Saccharomyces cerevisiae S288C: one gene and its partners. Each later gene encodes a partner of the first gene's protein in a complex. Each region holds a gene or a part of one and is shown on either strand. Other genes may lie near its edges. The genes, in order: MHR1, MRPL24, YML6 and MRP20.

Region 1 (5,187 bases):
AAGAATTCTCATCAGTTTTCGAAGATTTCAAGAAAGTCCGAAGAACATTTAAGACCTTTTTGATAATTCAAGATGTGCATGCACAATAATAACCATTTCATAGTTGAATTTTGATGTATTCTTTCGTTACAAATCAAATATATAGTCAAAGTCACGCCTATACACTTAATAATATGTCTTGATGTATATAAATGGATAATAAATACAAACGTGGGAAGTCGGAGACATTGCCTTTACCCAGCAATTGAACGGGAGGTATGCAAAAGGGTTATTTCTCTTTCTTTACTTCATTTTCAGCAGCATTCATAGCTTTGAAGTTTTTGAGTTTCTCCTTCTTTTCCAATTCTCTCTCTTGCAAAAACTCTTTGTACTTGTCGATGGTGACACGTCTTTGCTTCTTTTGATATTCTTCAAACCCTTTAAAGTTAGTTTGGAACAAATTGTCCCAGAAAGTGAAAAATGGTTGAGCAAAGTTCGTCTTGATACCAAATTGCTGGTGGTGGATATCGTGATAGACAGCGTTATTAGGGAAAAGCCATTGGAATGGGTCAAGTGGCAAAGCATACCCACAGTGGTCATCGACAGTCTTCATGGTGGCAAAGGTAAAAAGAATGATTTGCTCTCTGTGAGTCAAATGAGTTAACGTCATGGCAATACCGGTTCCCAAAGTATCTAACAAGAAGCCCTCAACAGGATTGTTGAAAAGAGCACCGTAAGCATATGGCACGTATAGTTCATGATGAACAGAGTGGAACCATTTGTATAAGGTCTTATTCATATGCATCAATCTATGCAAAAAGTATTGCCATGTATCAACGAATAAAAAGCCTGCAAAGATCTTCAAAGCGGACATTCCGTACATATAGCCGTAATAAATAGCGGCATCTGGAATAATCCGAGGAAGGTCTGCACGAAGCTTCCACATGGCATTTTCTTCAAACCCAGTCATGTAGATCGGCTCGAAGTGCATAAAGATAAGGCCAACAATGGTCTGTATGATATGTTGTAGAATCACTTCAAGGAAAACATGCATTCTCGACGCCTTGTTCCTCTTGGCAACCTCTTCGCTCGGATGAATTCTGTACTTCTCAGCCAGATGGAAAGTGTCTATTACATGGAATATACCAGACAACGCCCAGTAGGCAACAACCGGCGCAACCAAGGCCAGCACACCATCACTCATTTCCGGCAGCAAGGATTCCTTGGGGCGTAAATTAATGGCAGGGGCCTTGGCATAGTGCATAAACCCAAATGAGGTCTTGAGACCAAATGCTAGTGGAAAGGAACCGGCTGCAGTTGCATTCGATGTTACGTTCATCGTATATTTTCTTTTCGTATACACCCTCTTCGGACTAGAATGTTAGAAATACCCAGACCAAACAGTAAAGACGAAGACCCGGAGTAAATGCAAGGGAATAGAAGATATGTAAATCGTTACTTCTTTTATAATCCCAAAACACGAAACGAAAAATGCGGCAACAACAGCGCAGCAGGATGAAGAAAGAGTGAAATAAATCAAGACAATAGCAAACAAGAAATTTTTAGTAACCCAAAAAGAAATTTTTCTGTGAAAATTGGTGCGGAAAGACTAAGAAAAACCGCAGAAGCCGGAGAAAAGCGCGACTGCCCGAAGAAGGACGCGGGGTGAGGGAATAAGACAATAGGAAACAGGAGGTCGAAAAGCTTATTAAGCTGTGCAAGTGAAAAAGATAGAGAAATGACGATAAGGTGAGGAGGATAAAACGCGTTTCAAGTCACACAACAGCAGCAGTAGCAGCGGCAGCAGCAGCAGCGGCAGTAATAAAGACTAGCCCTGTGTATTCCTGTTTTGACCTATCTTCTTTTTGCGGATACCCGCACAGCACGTGTTTTTCCGTGGAACGGGATTTGGCAGAAAGGTTTGCATTGCACTATTTACATGAGCTTATATATGTTTTTTTTTCTACCTGCATTTGTATATCTAATGACGAAGCGTTCTACTGGGAAGACACTTCCGTCTGCTCTGTAGGATGTGATTCGAGCTTAGCTAGTTCCTTCAGAATAACGCTTTCTTCCCTCGCAATGTTCCCCACACGCTGAATAAGCTTGTGTTCCAGCCCCAGAGCATTGAACACATCGTAATTCCAATGTTTGTCCTTGTCACCCATCCTCCATGGGTCCTCCCAGTATATGGACGGTTTTTTGGCGGGTACTGTCTGCTTTTCTGCTGGTGTGGCATTCTCAAACACCTTCAACAAGGACTCCCGCAAGTCTGCCACTGCCTCTTGACAATATGTAGGTCTATACTGTCCGCTATACCAGACGTGCCCGTTAGAGTCCTTTTTTCTTAGCTTGTCACTCTCCTTACGCTGTGCCACATCACGGAGGTATCTCAACCGGCAGAGGTTCTGGTATAGATGGACACTCTGCTTATAGTTTTGCAAGTTCACTACACACATACATTTCCAGATGTCCCTTCTCAATGATGGCTTTCTGTTGCTCCAGTTTGGTCTCACAAACAGCTTATCCACCTGTGTTTGCGAAAAGTTGGGAAATTGAGAATATAGTACTTGTCCATACTCTAGGTTCCTAAAGATGTATACCTGGGGTGGGATTATCTTTGTCTTTTCGAACCATGAAGCGGGGCGGAATCTTGAAATTGAATGGTTTACCTTCATGCTTTTGCCCTGAAATATCGATTTTTCCGTCGCTGTTTCTCTATTTATTCCTCACAGGATCTCCTCTTTCCGTTTCCTCTACATTTCATCATATAGCCTTACTTTCACTTTTTCCTTTAGTATCTGAATATCGGAAAAGAGAATATTGTAGGAAATGTATTTTTCCCGTCTACCGTACAAAATGAGTCGTTAACTTGACAGGAATCATCAACTTTATGCACGTCTGAAATTTAACCGTGGCGTATATGGTTCATTGCTTACACGAATGTCTCCTAGTTTATATTTCCTGAGAAAGTTCTCTACAGCCCAAATAAATAGTTATATAGATATATAAGAAAAGCGACAACAAAAGAAAAAAAAAAAATACAGTCCTACTAAAATAACATAATTGCGGCACAGAAGAGTAACCACAACTAGTAGAACATCGAGAAAGGAGAGGTAACAAAAAATTTTTTTTTTTAAAAAGACAGAATTGAGAACGATTGAAGGCGTTTAAGTAGTAGTAAAAGTATTTGGCTTCATTAGTGTGTGAAAAATAAAGAAAATAGATACAATACTATCGACATGAGTAGGAAAAATTCTAAGAAACTAAAAGTCTATTACTTACCTGTAACGCTAACCCAATTTCAAAAGGATTTATCAGAAATTTTGATATCCCTGCACGCCAAGTCATTCAAAGCAAGCATAATAGGAGAACCACAGGCAGATGCAGTGAACAAGCCTTCCGGCTTACCTGCTGGCCCTGAAACACATCCGTATCCAACGCTATCACAAAGGCAATTAACCTATATCTTTGATTCAAACATAAGAGCAATAGCCAATCATCCTTCCCTTCTAGTGGACCATTATATGCCTCGACAGCTTTTGAGAATGGAGCCCACGGAAAGCTCTATTGCTGGGAGCCACAAGTTTCAAGTTCTCAACCAGCTCATTAATTCGATATGCTTTAGAGACAGAGAGGGCTCACCAAACGAAGTTATAAAATGTGCCATCATCGCACACAGCATAAAGGAATTAGATTTGCTAGAAGGTTTAATATTAGGCAAGAAATTCAGAACCAAGAGACTTTCCGGTACATCTCTTTATAATGAGAAACACAAATTCCCTAATCTACCTACGGTCGATTCCACAATAAATAAAGATGGAACACCAAATTCTGTAAGCAGCACAAGCTCTAATTCCAATTCGACCTCTTATACAGGTTATTCTAAGGACGACTATGATTACTCAGTGAAAAGAAACCTGAAAAAAAGAAAAATAAATACGGATGACTGGCTGTTTTTAGCCACTACCAAACATCTCAAACACGATCAATACCTATTGGCTAACTATGATATAGATATGATAATTAGTTTTGATCCAATGTTGGAAGTTGAATTGCCCGCTTTGCAGGTACTGAGGAATAATGCCAATAAGGATATTCCGATAATAAAGCTATTAGTACAAAATTCTCCAGATCATTACTTGTTAGATTCTGAAATCAAGAATTCAAGTGTTAAATCGTCGCATTTGAGCAATAACGGTCATGTCGATGATAGCCAAGAATATGAAGAGATCAAATCCTCCTTACTATATTTTTTGCAAGCAAGGAATGCTCCGGTGAACAACTGTGAGATTGATTATATTAAATTGGTAAAGTGTTGTTTAGAGGGGAAAGATTGCAATAACATTTTACCGGTTTTGGATTTGATAACGTTAGATGAGGCCTCCAAAGATTCGAGCGATTCTGGGTTTTGGCAGCCTCAATTAACAAAATTGCAATATTCGTCTACAGAATTGCCCCTTTGGGACGGACCATTGGATATCAAAACCTACCAAACAGAGTTAATGCATAGAGCCGTCATAAGATTGCGAGATATACAGGACGAGTATGCCAAAGGCACTGTTCCACTGTACGAGAAACGATTAAACGAAACTCAACGGCAGAACCAGTTGGACGAAATAAAGAATTCTGTTGGTCTTACATTCAAGAAAAAACAAGAAGTGGAAAAATCCATTAATGACTCTGAAAAAAGGTTGAAGCATGCGATGACAGAATCTACCAAGCTACAAAATAAAATAAATCACTTACTGAAAAATAGGCAGGAACTAGAGAATTTCAACAAATTGCCCTCGAATACTATTTCATCAGAAAATCATCTGGAAGAGGGATCTGCCTTAGCAGACAAGTTGAAGGAATACATAGACAAAAATGCGACTCTTTTTAATAAGTTAAAGGAACTCCAACAAGCAAATGCGGAAAAATCAAAGCTCAATGATGAACTACGTTCCAAATATCAAATAGAATCTTCAAAAGCCGCAGAGTCCGCGCAAACATTGAAAATTTTGCAAGAATCAATGAAGTCTTTAGAAAACGAAGTTAATGGTCCACTGACTAAATTTTCCACAGAAAGCTTGAAGAAGGAGCTGGAACGTTTACAGAATGATTTTCAGTCGCTTAAAGCAAGAAACAAATTCTTAAAGAATTACATAACCTTAATGAACCGACAGTACGACTTAAAAAACAAAAACAACGTCCAGGTGGAAAAAG
Region 2 (5,239 bases), on another chromosome or scaffold:
ATGGCAACAGAAAGAGCAGCTAGCTCGAACAGCCAGCTCTTTTTGAGGGGGGTAACACGTATGCTGGCAAAGGGCACAGGGTCTTATTACCCCTCCTTTGGTACGGTGGTCACCACAGTAGCAGAAGCGCTCGGATCATCGCTTCCACGTCATGCCCACGTTTCGTTTCCATGCGGAAAAATGCCCTCCTTAACATGACCACTTTGGGGGTTTTTGTATATTGTTTCTTAATTGCTGATTTGTGCAGTATCCTATCGTTCGTTCTTCACCCCTCCCCTTAAACCTTGCTAGCGTTTTGATATTTTTTGTTTCCTGTCACGTTCAATACTACAAATTACACATCTCAATCGGAATCGCGGGCGCAGAGTTTTTCCGATGTTGCCCGTCGCTAATATTTGGCGACTTTTGCACGTGAACGACGTCCCCACAATAAATTTCGCAAGGAGCGGGCGTGCGTTGTTAACGTCATCCGTTAGCGAGACTTTTACGGATATTACTTTTCACCCATGGGGTGTATATGAGAGTTCAGAAGAGGGTGTGGAGAGACAGAATATTACTGTTCTTTTTTTCCAAGATATTGAGCGTTTTTTTAGTTGTTGAGATTTGTTCAAATAAGAGGTAAATATGTCTAATCCATGCCAGAAGGAGGCCTGCGCCATCCAAGGTTTGTAATATTAACTTCAAAAGATTCGATCGTTTTTTTCTTTTCACTAACGTTTTTTCACATTAATTTTAGATTGCCTTCTATCACATCAGTACGATGATGCTAAATGCGCTAAAGTTATAGATCAGCTGTACATCTGCTGCTCAAAATTTTACAATGACAATGGAAAAGATTCACGGTCACCCTGCTGTCCGCTACCTTCGCTTCTTGAGTTGAAGATGAAACAGCGAAAGCTTACACCAGGGGACAGTTGAGGCTTCCAATTGGCCCTTCTTTCTACGTATGTATGAACTAGCAATTGAAAAAAAAAAAAAGGTATGTGCGTGAAGAGAATCTAATCATAAGTACATTATTCGTACTTCCAGGGAAGATCCACTCACTTTCTTTATGAAAAAGAAATATATTTATCTAAGATCAACCGCGAGCACGACAGTGAAATAGTATTAGTACTCCACCGTATAGTAAACGATTAAGTAAACTATATACGTCCACCGCCTAAAAAAACTGTCGAAACAGAATCTCTAAAACCAAGACGAATCGTGACTCTGGGTGTCTATTATAAAAGACATTATTACCCTTTTTCAAAAAACCAAAAAAAGGAAAAGAAAAGATTTTTTAAATACCAATAAAGATTCTTGCACCACAGGAACTTCTTCTAAACTCACCGCTTTATATACCAGAAAAAGATATAACGGTACGAAGAAAAAATAATATTCATACTTTTCGGGTAACACTTATATTGCTTCAGAAAAAAAATGTAGGGTTGGTAACGACTATCAGCTCAGTACATGGGCTTTTTGCATGGCTAGTGGTACTTTACTCTAGGCCCTCTCATGTGTGAAAGTATTGGTGGTTTTTTTTTTGGTGTTATTTTTTCCTAAGTTAAAAAGAAAATATGATATCTATATATATATTACAAAAATCAGTTTTTAGAAACTTAGTGACGACGAGAAGCAGCAATGATGTTGTTCATTTCTTCGACCTTAGCCTTGGCTCTGGTGAAAGAACCCAATCTCTTCTTGGCGACCTTTCTAGCTCTCTTTTCACCAGAGTTTCTTATTAGATCAATCAATCTTCTTTCGTATGGAGACAAACCAGCGATTTCTCTGACCAAAGATCTTACGAACTTGGTTCTGTTGGAAGCAGCACCTTTCTTGTAAGAGATTTTTGGAGCTGGGGTCATGCTAGTGACCTTCTTACCTTTGTTTAAACCAATAGCAATTCCTAAATATAAGGACACAGGTTGTCTTCAGTTAGTAACATGTGAAATAGGCATACATATACACGTGTATATGTGTCGGCGGGAAGTGACGTATAATGTACGGCTTTGTATAGCATCTTTTTGTGATTGTTTTCCATGGCAATTCTTACAATGGTGCAACTACTAAAATGTTCCATTTGAAGGCGTTTTCGCAATACTATTCTTTTTGTAAAATGGACCTCATCTTCAAACACAATAGTTTTTTAGATAGGAGTGAAGAGATAAGCCTGTGTATGCATATTAAATGGTATTTTTCCTCTGGCTATTTCCATTGGTCATTAATCACTCAAAATTATATAATATTCTTGTTTTTGTTTCCTTTTAAGTTTTCAATGCACTCATGTTCTTCTCGTATTTGGGGTAAACCCCTTTATAAGTTCGAAAATCGTCATAACCCGTTCAGTTCCTTGTTTATGTCTCACATACCTGTCTTAACGGTCATTTCTTATTGTGTTTGCTGTCTTTCTTGTTTCTTTGATACTTGTAAATCAGTACTATACTGTTCAACATCCTGAAATCTCTGATTTCAAATAAATTTCATAGGAGCGGAGGCTTCCATTCAGTTGGAATTTAACTTCAAAAAAAAACTGTGAAATGTACGGGTGTAAAACAGTCTAAAAAATGAATTGCCAATTAATGTAGCAAGCATATACGCATCAATAATGTTCAGAATGTGTGCATACCTACATATGTACAAACAGATATGCTTTTTTATATACAGGGGAAAACCAACGATATTTTCGGAATGGCAATTATCTTCTTTATTTCTTCCTTTTATACGGTGATGGTGGATAAGTCGAATTTATGATCCTCTAATCTAGCTAGGATATCCTTGACTGGAACGTCGGCAAATAACTCGACAAATTTTTTGTAGTTCAGGTCCTTCCCTACTGACCTATATTCCAATTTCTCTAAAGGATATAAAAATGACATCAATCTTCTTCTTCCAACTGATATTTTTCTTGGTGAGCCGTTTACTATTTCATCATAGTAAATTTTGGCCTTTTTACCACCAGCCATTTCTATGATAGGTGCATCCTTATGTGGGGGATTCTCTATTTCATCTTTTCTTTTTAAAACCCTATAACGAAGCTTCCATCCGGTCGGCCCTAATTCTTTTATTCTTGCAGATTTTTCCTTTGTTAAATAGTTGTCAATCCCTCCTTCTTTACTGATTGTTTTTAAAACTTTAGCGGTCATTTTGATACTGATTTTTCTGTTCAGAGTCTCACTCCAGAGACCTTTTTTGACAACATTTGGCAACCACTTCTTCCTCGTTTTGGCTTTACTTTCAGAAATATTGTTACCAAACTGAACGAAAGATCCACCATATAGACCTTTGTTACTCTGTTTGAAGATATTAGATTCCCCATACTTGTAATCTGGAAATTTCTTTCTTTCTTTTGGCATATGTAAAGGTTTAGCATCACCAACTTGGTAGTTCGGTTGTTTGGCAATCTTCCTTGTTTCAATCAGTCTCCATTGCCTGAAGTTTTTTACGGAAGAGGTAAAGCCTCTCGTTAATTGGAATGGTCTGAAAATTTTTTGCATATTCTTCTGTGAGCTTTTTCTTCCTTAAACTGATTTTTCTATACCCCTGGGCACTAACTTCTAATAGCTCTAGCTGATCAGCTGTTTTTGGTTTCTCAAATGAATTTCACAAAGCGTGCCCGGATGCGAGAATACGAGATTATTTAATTAAATATAATTGCAGAAAGAGAAGAAGGAAACGTACTAAGCTCAATTTGTCCACAGTATAATCAACAAAATTGCACATTTAATTGTTTTTACTAAAAGTTTAGGAAACCGTTGTCACGATGTAATTAAAATTCTTGAATTCTTGATATGAAGGCTCTTTTCATGATGTGCCACATGAGTACAGCCGATATTTGAGAAACGTAGAATAAAATAAAACGTTAAACGCCAAGATATTTACTGTTGCAAAGTTTAGAATGGTATGGAAAGGGTTACTGTTAACTGCTAACTCGAGTATATATTGTCACGATTGTGGTTCATTATTTCTGCTAGAAGTAATGCTTACTAACAATTTCTCGGTCTTATTTATATCCTAAACACTCTCCTTTACTACTTCATCGTCACTGAATTCTTAGTCCATGAACAGTTTTAAAGTACTCTATTTTCTTTATCCGGCTTCCCTAACCTCATATATTATCTTGCAACTTTATACAATTGAAGCTCTCAAATGTCAACAAAATATGAAATAATCAAAAATCAAGAAATAAATTTATCATTATATTTAGTCATGTATCATTCAAGGGGAGCAGTAGCTGATATACACAGTTTAACTATTTAAAAACCTTTTTAAATCCTGACCAGCCGGCTCCCAAAGGATTATTTTTAGAATTAGAATATTCGAATAACGTACCATTTTTGTTTGCAGTTTTTATTTCTTCAATAAGCCTTTCTAGTTCTGAAATCCTATCCTGCAATTTCAAATTTTCGTCCATTACTTGGGTATTCTTTTTCATTGTCTCTTCCAAATCTTTCTTTAAATCATTGGGCACATATACACCTAAAACTTGCTTCTTTTTTTCTGAATCCAACTTTTTCTTCAAATCTAAAATTTGAAGTTTGTAACCATTATTTTCATTTAATACAGACTCGATATTAAGCCGATTTTTCACTAACTCGTTCGCAATTGTCACATGCTCTCTATTTAAAGATGTGTAGTCGTTTTCTAATTTACGAACATGCTTTTGTAAATGTAAATTTTTTTCCGTGATAGACTTATATTGCACTTCTTTTTCATTGTCCAATCTGTGAATTTCCTCATATTCAGAAGAATATTTCTTCATAGTCTTTGGGGTTATTGCTACTTTCATCATAGAGTCTTGTAGTAATTTATCCATACATTCATTTGAGAGAAGAGTGTCACCGCGTGTACCATCATTCTGCTTAATATAAGCATCTAACAGACCTGATTTCAATAGCTCCAGCATATCATCAAAACCCATTTTTAACAGATGGTCTCGGGAATTAGATAAAAGTGTGGCTAAAATTCTCATAATAGAGTCAATACCTTCTAAAAATACCATATCACCGATACGTGGTTGAATTTCAGTGGGAAGTTTCTTTTGAAACAGTGTCGTGAAGAAACCGGGCAAAAACATGGAAGAACGGACGCCTTTTTCAACCATGTGGTTGTGAATTTCAGGATAAAATTCTTCTACAAGTCTATCAAATTTATAGCAAAGAATATCGATCTCAGAAGCACTTGGTAAGAACAAGAGTCTTAAACCGTAAACTTTCATTAGGCGTACAAGTAGACCAAATGCATTTGCCTCCTCCTCGCA
Region 3 (5,563 bases), on another chromosome or scaffold:
CAGTTGATGAATCACACGAAAACCTTCTACTGACTCCCCTAAATAGCAAAAAGAGAGATTATTCGGTTTCTTCAAAGAAAAACGACATATTAACACCACTCTCTGCAGCGAAGTCGATTATTATCCCCTCTGCCTCTAAGGAAAAAAGACGTGCATTTGCTTTCATCACACACTCGCAGGAGACCTTCCCTAAGAAGGAGCCTAAGATCGACAACGCTCCACTAGCACGCCGAAAGAGAAGAAGAACCTCGTCCCAGGAACTATCTATTCTTCAGGCTGAATTTGAAAAATGTCCTGCTCCATCGAAGGAGAAACGAATTGAGTTAGCTGAATCTTGCCATATGACTGAAAAAGCCGTTCAAATATGGTTCCAGAATAAAAGACAAGCGGTTAAAAGGCAGAGAATCGCCACTTCGAAGTCAACCACTATAATACAAACGGTATCTCCACCATCTCCGCCTCTGGACGTTCATGCTACGCCACTAGCATCCAGAGTCAAGGCGGACATACTTCGTGATGGAAGCTCATGTTCTCGTTCTTCCTCTTCTTCACCGCTGGAAAATACGCCGCCAAGGCCTCATCATTCCCTAAATAGGCGCTCATCCACACCAAGCATAAAGAGAAGCCAGGCTTTAACATTCCATCTAAACCCACAAAAGAAGACGTTGACTCCCGTGAAAACGTCTCCCAACAGCAGAGTAAATAAATTGATCAATAGCATAGATCATTCTCCATCCAAAGCCAAGCGTCCGGTAAGCAATCCCTCCGGCTCCCCTAAAAGGAAGAGAAAATTCGGATTCAAGATCGTCGATCAACAACCGTTGAAGGATCTTGATCCGAACGCTTTCCGTGGTTGATCTAATCTCTAGTCATTATTTATTCGCAAATTCATTTCCCTATACGGCATTCATACATATCATTGTTCACTTCAGTCCTAGCATATATCATAAAATATACAATTGTTTTCTAATTACCTTACGTTTTTTAAAAGACTTCTATAACACCTCTTTTAACTTTACATGTAGTCAAAATAAAGTGCAGTTCCATCGATGGTACTTTCTCACCCCGGTTGAGTGATGTTAACGATGTTTACCGTATAAAACTTAATTATATTATATCTTTTTTTGCTTATATGTTATACATAGAATAAAAAGTTGATTAAACACACATTGGTCTGAAAACACGTGTAGTACTTTCTCCTTTGAAGAATAAAAAAAGAAAATAAAGATAATAAAAACGAAAATAGCGTACAATTATTACTGATAATTTCCTTAATTGATTTAAGCTCTTCTTCTACCAGTGGTCTTGGTGTGTTGACCTCTAACACGTAAACCCCAGAAGTGTCTAATACCACGGTGGGCTCTGATCTTCTTTAATCTTTCCAAGTCATCTCTCAACTTGGATTCGACGTTGTTAGCCAAAGTGTGGTAGTCCTTACCATCAGTAATGTCGTTTTGACGGTTTAAGAACCAGGCTGGGATCTTGTAATGAGTTGGGTTTTGCATGATTTGGACAATTCTTTCCAATTCTTCTTGGGTCAATTCACCAGCTCTCTTGTGCAAATCAACATCAGCCTTCTTACAGACCAAGTTGGAGTAACGACGACCAACACCCTTAATAGTGGTCAAAGCGTAAACAATTTTAATGTTACCATCGACATTGGTGTTCAACAAACTGATTGTAATGGGCGCACAAAAAATTGTACATCTTATTGTTAGTAATTTATTTCACACCACTGCTAGGTTCTTCGAGAAATTTTCAACATGGCGCATCATTTTGGAATGGCGTACGAACATGGAGGGACGATAAATATGAATTTGTCAAGCTGTATTGACTGAAATTTTTAAATTCGCATTGAGTCATATATTGTATTTTCCAATAAACTGTGTATTACTTTAAAATCTAGTGATAATTTTTATAGTAGCGTAGAGTTAATTCGGCCTCGTATTTGGTAACCCGTGACGTTTATTATTCCATCGGAGTGCACTCACATATTTTCAATCGCAATATTAAGCTATTATCCCATGTAATGTGAAACTCTCTCAACATATCTGCACTGTACTCGTAAAACATACCGTAAAATGTGTTGGAAGGAACCTTGTTCTTGTACAACTAAAGACATCTTTACCACTTTCTGCTCTATTGGCTTTTCGTAAGATCGGTTTTTCACTAATAGTATATCTTTAACAATGTTAAAGTACCTGATATTGTTATTACTAAGGACCTTTTCCAGTTAGGATAGCAAAGGTGTCAGAATTACCATAGCCCAGGCATCAACCAGTTTCCGCGCAAGAATTCTCCTCCTCCCGGAACAAGAGGCCTGCGGAGACGAGTTCTTTGCCTCTGAAAGGCGAATCTCTGGAAGGATGAGCTTGGATGGCCCCAGTAAACGCATTTGCCTAGGTTGAGCCGAGCTAGGAGGACACCCCGACGGATAATTTAGCCCTTTTCCAATTTTTCAAAAAAACATGAAATTTCAAAAAAATGTATGGATGTAAAATTCAGTAGTGTGTACGGATTTTACAGTTTCTTGAATGAGACTTGCTTTTACGTCAAATCATTCTGAATTATACAATTCTTTCATTGTGAGATTGATATTTCATGGGCTTATTATTTACAGATTATTTTTTAAATATGTAGATGGAATAATAACTGGATGGGGTAGAAGAAGGGGTCACTTGTATGTGTACATATGAAAATCAGTTAGACACGGAGTGAAGGATTTCTTTCTGATGGGCCATTGCTAGATATTCAAGAGCTTCCAATTCGATAAAAACAGCTTGGGCTCTTAGTATGTCATTTACCTCAACAAGTTCTTTCTGTATAACATCTACTTTTTGTTTGTATGGATCAGAACTCTTTATCAGCCCTTCCCTAGTCTTGTCTGTAATGAAAAGTAATCTCTTACCTTTAAGTTGAAATTCCTCCAAGAATTTTCTGAAGATGACTTCGCCCTCAAAAATCTCTTTGCCCTCAACTGTGTTTGTATTCACAAGATCCAGCCTGTTCAAGTCGAGTTCTGGTGTGGGAGATATTAAGTCGACCTTTTCACCACCAATAACAAACAACTTTCCACTTTTATATTGGTGGCTCAAAGCGTTGTTGAAAGCCATGGAATAAACCTTGGATGGTAGCTCTGTAGTATAGTCGTTTGGTGCAGTTCTTGCCAATGCCCTACCACCATTATGTCTTGTTGGAGAGTTAGCATCCCCGACTCTTGCCCTACCAGAACCCTTTTGGGGCATCAATTTACGTCTGGAAAACCCGTTTTCACTTCTCCCGGGAGGATTTGAGGCGCCTACTCTTCTATTATCGTTTTCATAAACTACGGCTCTCCATAGTATATCACGCCTTAATGGAGCAGCTACAGTTGATGTGGGGACCGGCACAAATGTCAATGGTTCTAATGATGGAAAGGAGCGAACGGTAACTAAGGCGTATTTGGGAGGAATGGCTGCGTTTGGCAGAGGGTTTAACGTGGATTCTGCATGTGCGGTGGCAGTGGTAGCTTGGTAGCGTATAGATTGTAAAGTCTATTGCATAAAATGGTTGTAATGTTAGTATACGGATTCATCTTCAGAAAATCGACAACCAAATGGAAAAAGAGCGAGGGACGATCCTCTGATACGTACTTTCACCAAATTTCTTTTTATCGTCATTATTATTATTTCACCCTAGTTGAACGAAAGATTATTCGCATTGGCGTCCTTTGAATGTATCTCCCCCATTATTAATGGAACCTCTGTATTATACTTTTCTATTTCGAACTTTTTGAGACTCATTCTTGGTATCCCAGGGTGACCCAGTAACCTTTTTTCCGGTTTAACATCCGTGCATTACATCCGTACATTCTATTTTTTATTTTCCAAAAAACTGGGAGTTCTACTTAATTTTTTGGCCCCGTTTGGGAATCTGCTTTGCCACAGGAGGCGGCCTGTCCAGGAGGACAATAGACCAATGGCAGAGACGAGGTTTGTTGGGTACGTGCAACAGCGCCTGGGCTCAGCCGGCTTGCTGTGGGCAACGGAATGGTGCTTCCTAAGCCAATCTTTCATGCTGTAGCTATCGTCGTGATCGCTTTTACTGGCATATTAGCGTAATATGTATGAAATTAGGTATTAATCAAGCATTAATCGACTTAATTCTAAGAAAAGTCAAGATCTCGAGACTAGCAATAACAAAATGGTATGTTAATATGGACTAAAGGAGGCTTTTAAGGACACGTAATATTGAGTCGACATGCGCAATAAAGTCATACAATAAATAAGTTAAAGAAAACATATGACGATATTTTCAGACGATATGGAACTGCGATACCGAAAAAGTGGTGTGATTGAAATGATACTCATGTTTTGGCTATAGTTGCAGTGGCTTTCCAAAAAATTGGGAGTTAAAATGCCTATAGCAGTATCACCGGAGATTCAGTCTCTTGTGGATCTTCTTTTTGCATAGTTGAACAAGGGATAATATGGCGCCATGAACTGCCTCTACACATTATAATGTGTTTTTGATATCAGTATACTAACAAGTTGAATTGCATTTACAAACTTTTTATTTTGTATTGCTTTTCGTCATTTTAATAGGGTAGAGTTAGAACCAAGACCGTCAAGCGTGCTTCTAAGGCTTTGATTGAACGTTACTATCCAAAGTTGACTTTGGATTTCCAAACCAACAAGAGACTTTGTGATGAAATCGCCACTATCCAATCCAAGAGATTGAGAAACAAGATTGCTGGTTACACCACCCATTTGATGAAGAGAATCCAAAAGGGTCCAGTTAGAGGTATCTCTTTCAAATTGCAAGAAGAAGAAAGAGAAAGAAAGGACCAATACGTCCCAGAAGTCTCTGCTTTGGACTTGTCTCGTTCTAACGGTGTTTTGAACGTTGACAACCAAACTTCTGACTTGGTTAAATCTTTGGGTTTGAAGTTGCCATTATCTGTTATCAACGTTTCTGCCCAAAGAGACAGACGTTACAGAAAGAGAGTTTAAAATTAAATTAGAAAGCTATTTAAAATAATTTACTATTCAAAATATTTGCCTTTTCTTTTTTAATTTTTGTTTATTCTTTAATGTATAATTAAATAAAAAAATATTATTATATTTACTAATTAAGAGCGAAGCGTTTTATGTAGCTCCTTGGCCATACATACATTGCGCGCAATGTTTATGCTTTGATACCAAAGGGCTATCATCTTTGACTTGGAATTATTTATATTTTTTAACATTGACTCTGTTTCCTTTCTTACTCATTATACTTATCCAGAAAAAATAGAAAAATTAGTTACTTATTCTATAATTACACTTTTATCATGAACGCCAAACATTTGGGAGACTATGGGATACAATAAAGGCGGATCATTTCCTAAGTTAAGCGCCTTGGCCCACTGTCGCCTCCCTGAATCATTTTTCTCAATCGCATGTAACATTTCTAACTGTTCCTTAGCGTCTAATATCGCTTCGGTCCCGATCAAATGCAGAAGATATCGTAGTAGGACCAGTAGGCAGACGTCACACTTTTCAATATTCAAAACGGCTTCTTCATACGAAGCTTGGCTACATTG
Region 4 (5,038 bases), 220 kb from region 1:
AGCGTAGTACAACCTGACCCTGGTCTCCCAAGAACAACCAACAGTTCACCGGGATTAAGACAACCATCCATGGGTTTCAGGATCTGAAAAGTGTCCTCTTCTTTACTGGGCTTCAGTAATCTGAGCCCTTTCGTAAGCAGCTTTGGTACGATGTTAGCGAAAGTTGACTGGTATGACACATCGGCGGAGTCTCCGGAGGCGCTTAGATTCTTCCATACACAACCGAGTGAGTATGGTTTATAGAAATCCGGGTCCGAAGTACAAATATTTGCCATGTTCTGTACCCACGCCGTACTGGAGAATTGATCACTGTTAGGGTCCAATTTGGGATTGTATCCCGGGGTGTCCGGGTTAGTGAACACCGGGTTCACACCTTCCATGTCCGTAGAAAATACGGATCTCGAGTCCGCATTGTGCGCATTATGGTTGCTGGAAGAGCTATTGTTTGAGTTAGCAGTGTATAGTAAACTCTGCGATGTGAGTGTTCTAGCCAACTCATGCACCCTTTCCGCGGCTTCGCTGTCGAAACCGCGGTATGGATGCTGTCCAATGGATTGGGCGGCAGAGTTCGAGCTCGAGCTTGAGCTCGAGCTCCGCGAATTTCGTTCCTCTACGTCTCTGATATCTGATGACATAGGTTTTTGATAATTATAAGTGTGTTTGCTTGTGTGTGTGTGTGTTTATATATTCGTATAGTAACTGTTATACGCTAATAGTATTAGTGATGTGATGTTCTTAACAGTAGTATACTTGAATACTGCATATGACGTATCTACAACAAGACTAGCAAATCTCTTTACAGCAACATAAGAAGGCAATTTGGTCCAGGTAGAGAGCTCCTGCTTATATATTCCTCAGATGTACATGCTCCCTTTCCGATCCCTACTACCAAAGTCTCGCACAGCAGTAGCAGTATTCTTTTCCCTCATCGTCTTACCATCGTGCCATACCTTAACCCCGGCACCGTGCGTTGCAGATCCGCCCCTCGCGGACCCGCTCGAGACTCTCCGCGGAACGAGCATGCGGACGGCTCCGCGCCACTGTCTCCGCAGGCATCCGTGCATGGCATCCCGCGGAAGCGACCCTGAAAATAATAAGTAAAGCAACCAATGTTCTTGCTCTTTGCGCGAACAAAAATAAAAAAAGAACAGAAATACAGGCCACCTTCCAGGGCAGGGGAAGGGGATGCCATCATCATTCTTTTCTTCCGTAAGGCATGTTCTACAGCCACTTCATATATTTTTGCGTTTGTTGCTCGGAAAAAGTAATGTTCTTAATTTTCTTTCTTTTTTTTTTTTTCTGTTTAGAGATTATGTAGTTTGCTCCGTATATACAAGTGTGAGGGGTGCAAGATGCTTATCTGGGTATTTGCGTGTGGGTTAACGAAGGGGTGGAATGGGAAACCTTCTAATGTAGATCTTCTATGTACCTGTTCAGGGCAATTAGTTTATCTGCGCGCTGCAGTTCGGCGGCGTGACGCTCTCGCTTATTGTCTATCTCTCGTTTTAAGAAGCGAGGTATAAAAGGCTGGGCCACCCGTTCGTAAGGCCCCACGACTCCGTCGAATGCTGTGCCGGGTTTGTTGGCGTCTGAGCCCAAGCAGTTAAGTCTTTCTTCACGGTACTTTTCCATGTTGTCAGGCGTGGTGCTGTCCCAGAAGGAGTTTTCGTCCGGACGGGGTTCTTCGGGCCAAATGAAGGGTTCTTCCATCTCGATAGTCATTTTCTTGATCTGCGGTTCTCTAAACCGCGTCGTCTGTAGGTTCATACGGTTAAACTTCCCATGAAGCAGCTGCGTCGTAATGTTCATTGCTCTTAAGCCGTAGATATGATAAAGATAGTCTCTGAGATCCAGTTTGTTGAACGATTTTGGGACGATGAATTTTGCTTGATACGGTGTGTGCTTCGCGTTGGGCCTCAAGAGGATGATCCTGGCCTTGGGAAAGTAGACTTTGTTACCTCCAACTTTGAAATGCTCCTTTCCCTGCTCTATGCCCGCCTTTGTCCACTTATAAATCTTCTCGCTTACGTTTATATCTACTTCGCGATCGCTGCCGCTTTTGTCGAGTATTTTGGAGGAACTCTCCACCACTGAGGCTAGTGATCTTATTGGAACCTGCTCTGGCTTGCAACTTCCTACTGCAAGTGTTTTTTGCAAAGGATACAACATATTCTTCGTTCCAACCGTCAATCGTGGCATATTCTGTGTTGGTGTTGCGTACTTTTTATTTTTATTTTATTTTTTTTTCTGTTGGAGCCTGCTAATCAAAGCACATTATTTGTTAGTAGCGTTACGTTCTCCACAAGAAATGTATGTACATTTCAAGTTCTAATACCATCGTTTTCCCTTTTTCATCGAGAAAATTCGTATAACGCGATTACGTATTAAGTGATCTTCTGTGGGTTTCAACGGCTATTTTGAAAAATACAAGGAAAATAAATGCGGTATTCCTATATCCCAGTGAAAATGCCAATAACGTAGACAAGCTCACTTCGTCGATTTATTCTCTAACATTGGGTCGATCAGGTCTGTCCACCTATCTCTTCTCCCAGAATATCATAGCCTTTCTTTTTCCGTTTCTCCTCCTACACCATTCTCCTTTGCGATTAGACAGTGGGAAAGTCCAAGAATAGATTCACATTTCAACCACTGTATAAATAACTCAATTTCTGAGAATGTTTTTTATTAAAGACCTTTCGCTTAATATTACCCTTCATCCGTCCTTTTTCGGTCCTCGAATGAAGCAATATCTAAAGACAAAACTATTGGAAGAGGTTGAAGGTTCGTGTACGGGTAAATTCGGATATATTCTTTGTGTCCTAGACTATGATAATATAGATATTCAACGTGGGAGAATATTGCCCACAGATGGGTCCGCCGAGTTCAACGTGAAATATAGAGCTGTAGTTTTCAAACCATTTAAAGGGGAAGTAGTGGACGGCACAGTCGTTTCATGTTCTCAGCACGGGTTCGAAGTGCAAGTAGGTCCAATGAAAGTATTTGTGACAAAGCATCTGATGCCTCAAGATTTAACCTTTAATGCGGGTTCAAACCCACCATCATACCAAAGTTCCGAGGATGTCATCACCATAAAAAGTAGAATTAGAGTTAAAATTGAAGGTTGTATCAGTCAAGTGAGTTCTATTCACGCAATCGGTAGTATCAAAGAAGATTATTTGGGTGCTATTTAATCACTTGTTACTCCGCAACGCTTTTCTGAACGCCCGCCTTCGCCTTTCATTATCATTCTCATCCCAAAAGAACTGTGCATGTTATTTGCAATACTTCATATACGCTCTGTATTATTAATAGTATCATTAATTACGTCAATTGAAATTCAAAATATCATCTTTGACAGTAACATCTATCCTCTTAGACAACTAGGGCCATTGCAGTGTCTCGAAACCATTAATATCACTGAAAAGATGAAAAGAAAGGCAAATATATATTGATCACTAATTTTCTAAGCTAAAGAATCTATTCCCCCTCTGTTAAATGGAATTGTGTGAAATAAAATATTATAAAATCAGAACTTTGGGGGGGAAACATAAAAAAATGAGAAAAAGAAAACGAACTAACTAATGTTTAAGTAAAAGAACAAAAAGGTAGACCAATGTAGCGCTCTTACTTTATTAAGAGATTTTCTTGATAACGAAATGTCCTCCTTCTCCAATATCGAAACGAGTATCTTTCCATACACCATCATACATACCCTTTTCGAGAGCCTCCTTGACTACTTTTGATTTTGTCAAAAAGTATTTCTCCTTTTCATCCTCAACCTTCACGACACAATTATGCCAAGGTGTGGGAATATGTAAAAAATCTTCAAATTTGGGTTCATCAAGGTCTTCTAACGAACTAACAATAGAACACTGTTCGTTGGAGATTACTTTTATACCAAATTTGGGCCCGCTGTTAGTGTGCGCATGAATAGAAATTCTCAAATGATGAGGGAATATCAATTCCACTAAGTTCGAATACGCGTCATTTCTCTTAATCATGTTAAAAGCGATCATTGAAATGATTTTCTTGAATTTTTTTCTGGAATAACTTTGGAAATGTTCCAGTAGAGATAAATCTTCCATCATAAAACGTGAAAAGCCCCTATACAGATGCAATCTTGGATGTCCTTCTATTGCAATCTGCTTTCTCAAACGACCTGCATCTGTATCACAGCCTTTCATCAAAATCTGTCTCGACAAATCGGACTTAGGACAGATTTGAGTTCCTGTGTAGTGTGCAACTTCAACATCACTAACCCACTTTGGATCGAAAACTTTACTAGCTGCACCGCTAAAAAATAAATCGTTCAATCCACAAAAGCCAATGGCGTCAACACCAGGTATAGCCACTCTTTTATACAGTTCGTGCAATTTGGTCGTGTAAGTACTCACGACGTCATCATCGACCCCAATACAATCGGAGAAAACATGGCCATCACTAACTATCCAAATTTTCATACCCGGTGGATATATCTTGACAAGGTCTTGTGTGGCTTTTATTAATCTTTTCAAAGCGAGTTCTTCGCCTTTGTCAGGAACGGAACCGTACACTTTTTGCTCATTAGATGACTTACATGGAAACGCTGGCAAGATGCATTCAATTCTCAAATATCGATCGGTAAAATATCTTGAACGTTCAATAAAATAATCACGGCCACCAAAATTCCATTGATCATTAACTATTGTGTTTTTCAAATTTTTCTCAAAAAAATCTGCAAATAATTCGTGATACTTAACTTCTTTGGTTACAATTGGATGTTCACTTAGAGATAATTGAGATTGGTCTAAAATATGATATACGAACCAGTTATTGAAAGAATTTTCATTCTCAACTGTTGTAACACACCCACGAATCTGGCGTTCGTCATCGCGTGTATATTCAGAAATCTTTATTGCCACTCCTAAATTATTGGTAAATTTATTTGCTAAAGAAGCTGGCAAAATTCTTTCAGAAACCCGTCCACTTACTTCGGATTCAGAAAAGTCCAGATTGTGAATAGTGTTGATAAAGTCGAGCCATTGGTCTCCAAATTTAC

The links.
Region 2: MHR1 (region 1) and MRPL24 share a complex: the UniProt entries of both Saccharomyces cerevisiae proteins name them as parts of the mitochondrial large ribosomal subunit.
Region 3: MHR1 (region 1) and YML6 share a complex: the UniProt entries of both Saccharomyces cerevisiae proteins name them as parts of the mitochondrial large ribosomal subunit.
Region 4: MHR1 (region 1) and MRP20 share a complex: the UniProt entries of both Saccharomyces cerevisiae proteins name them as parts of the mitochondrial large ribosomal subunit.

The regions. Positions count from the first base shown.
Region 1 is NC_001136.10:1,052,682-1,057,868, reverse strand, and holds MHR1 (mitochondrial 54S ribosomal protein mL67 MHR1), read right to left. Parts: upstream 2,658-5,187; coding exon 1,977-2,657; downstream 1-1,976. Other genes in the region: SUR2 (sphingosine hydroxylase), read right to left, coding at 269-1,318; HDA2 (Hda2p), read left to right, coding at 3,222-5,187. UniProt on the Saccharomyces cerevisiae protein: Component of the mitochondrial ribosome (mitoribosome), a dedicated translation machinery responsible for the synthesis of mitochondrial genome-encoded proteins, including at least some of the essential transmembrane subunits of the mitochondrial respiratory chain.
Region 2 is NC_001145.3:648,273-653,511, reverse strand, and holds MRPL24 (mitochondrial 54S ribosomal protein bL28m MRPL24), read right to left. Parts: upstream 3,477-5,239; coding exon 2,700-3,476; downstream 1-2,699. Other genes in the region: CMC4 (Cmc4p), read left to right, coding at 625-664, 737-918; 60S ribosomal protein eL36 RPL36A, read right to left, coding at 1,602-1,888, 2,352-2,367; GYL1 (Gyl1p), read right to left, coding at 4,232-5,239. UniProt on the Saccharomyces cerevisiae protein: Component of the mitochondrial ribosome (mitoribosome), a dedicated translation machinery responsible for the synthesis of mitochondrial genome-encoded proteins, including at least some of the essential transmembrane subunits of the mitochondrial respiratory chain.
Region 3 is NC_001145.3:221,707-227,269, forward strand, and holds YML6 (mitochondrial 54S ribosomal protein uL4m YML6), read right to left. Parts: upstream 3,660-5,563; coding exon 3,633-3,659; intron 3,534-3,632; coding exon 2,700-3,533; downstream 1-2,699. Other genes in the region: YOX1 (Yox1p), read left to right, coding at 1-857; 40S ribosomal protein uS13 RPS18B, read right to left, coding at 1,281-1,674, 2,076-2,122; 40S ribosomal protein eS17 RPS17A, read left to right, coding at 4,183-4,185, 4,584-4,991; Smc5-Smc6 complex subunit NSE5, read right to left, coding at 5,288-5,563. UniProt on the Saccharomyces cerevisiae protein: Component of the mitochondrial ribosome (mitoribosome), a dedicated translation machinery responsible for the synthesis of mitochondrial genome-encoded proteins, including at least some of the essential transmembrane subunits of the mitochondrial respiratory chain.
Region 4 is NC_001136.10:1,274,807-1,279,844, reverse strand, and holds MRP20 (mitochondrial 54S ribosomal protein uL23m MRP20), read right to left. Parts: upstream 2,200-5,038; coding exon 1,408-2,199; downstream 1-1,407. Other genes in the region: ATP-binding cassette multidrug transporter PDR15, read right to left, coding at 1-635; DNA-directed RNA polymerase II subunit RPB7, read left to right, coding at 2,676-3,191; DIT1 (Dit1p), read right to left, coding at 3,633-5,038. UniProt on the Saccharomyces cerevisiae protein: Component of the mitochondrial ribosome (mitoribosome), a dedicated translation machinery responsible for the synthesis of mitochondrial genome-encoded proteins, including at least some of the essential transmembrane subunits of the mitochondrial respiratory chain.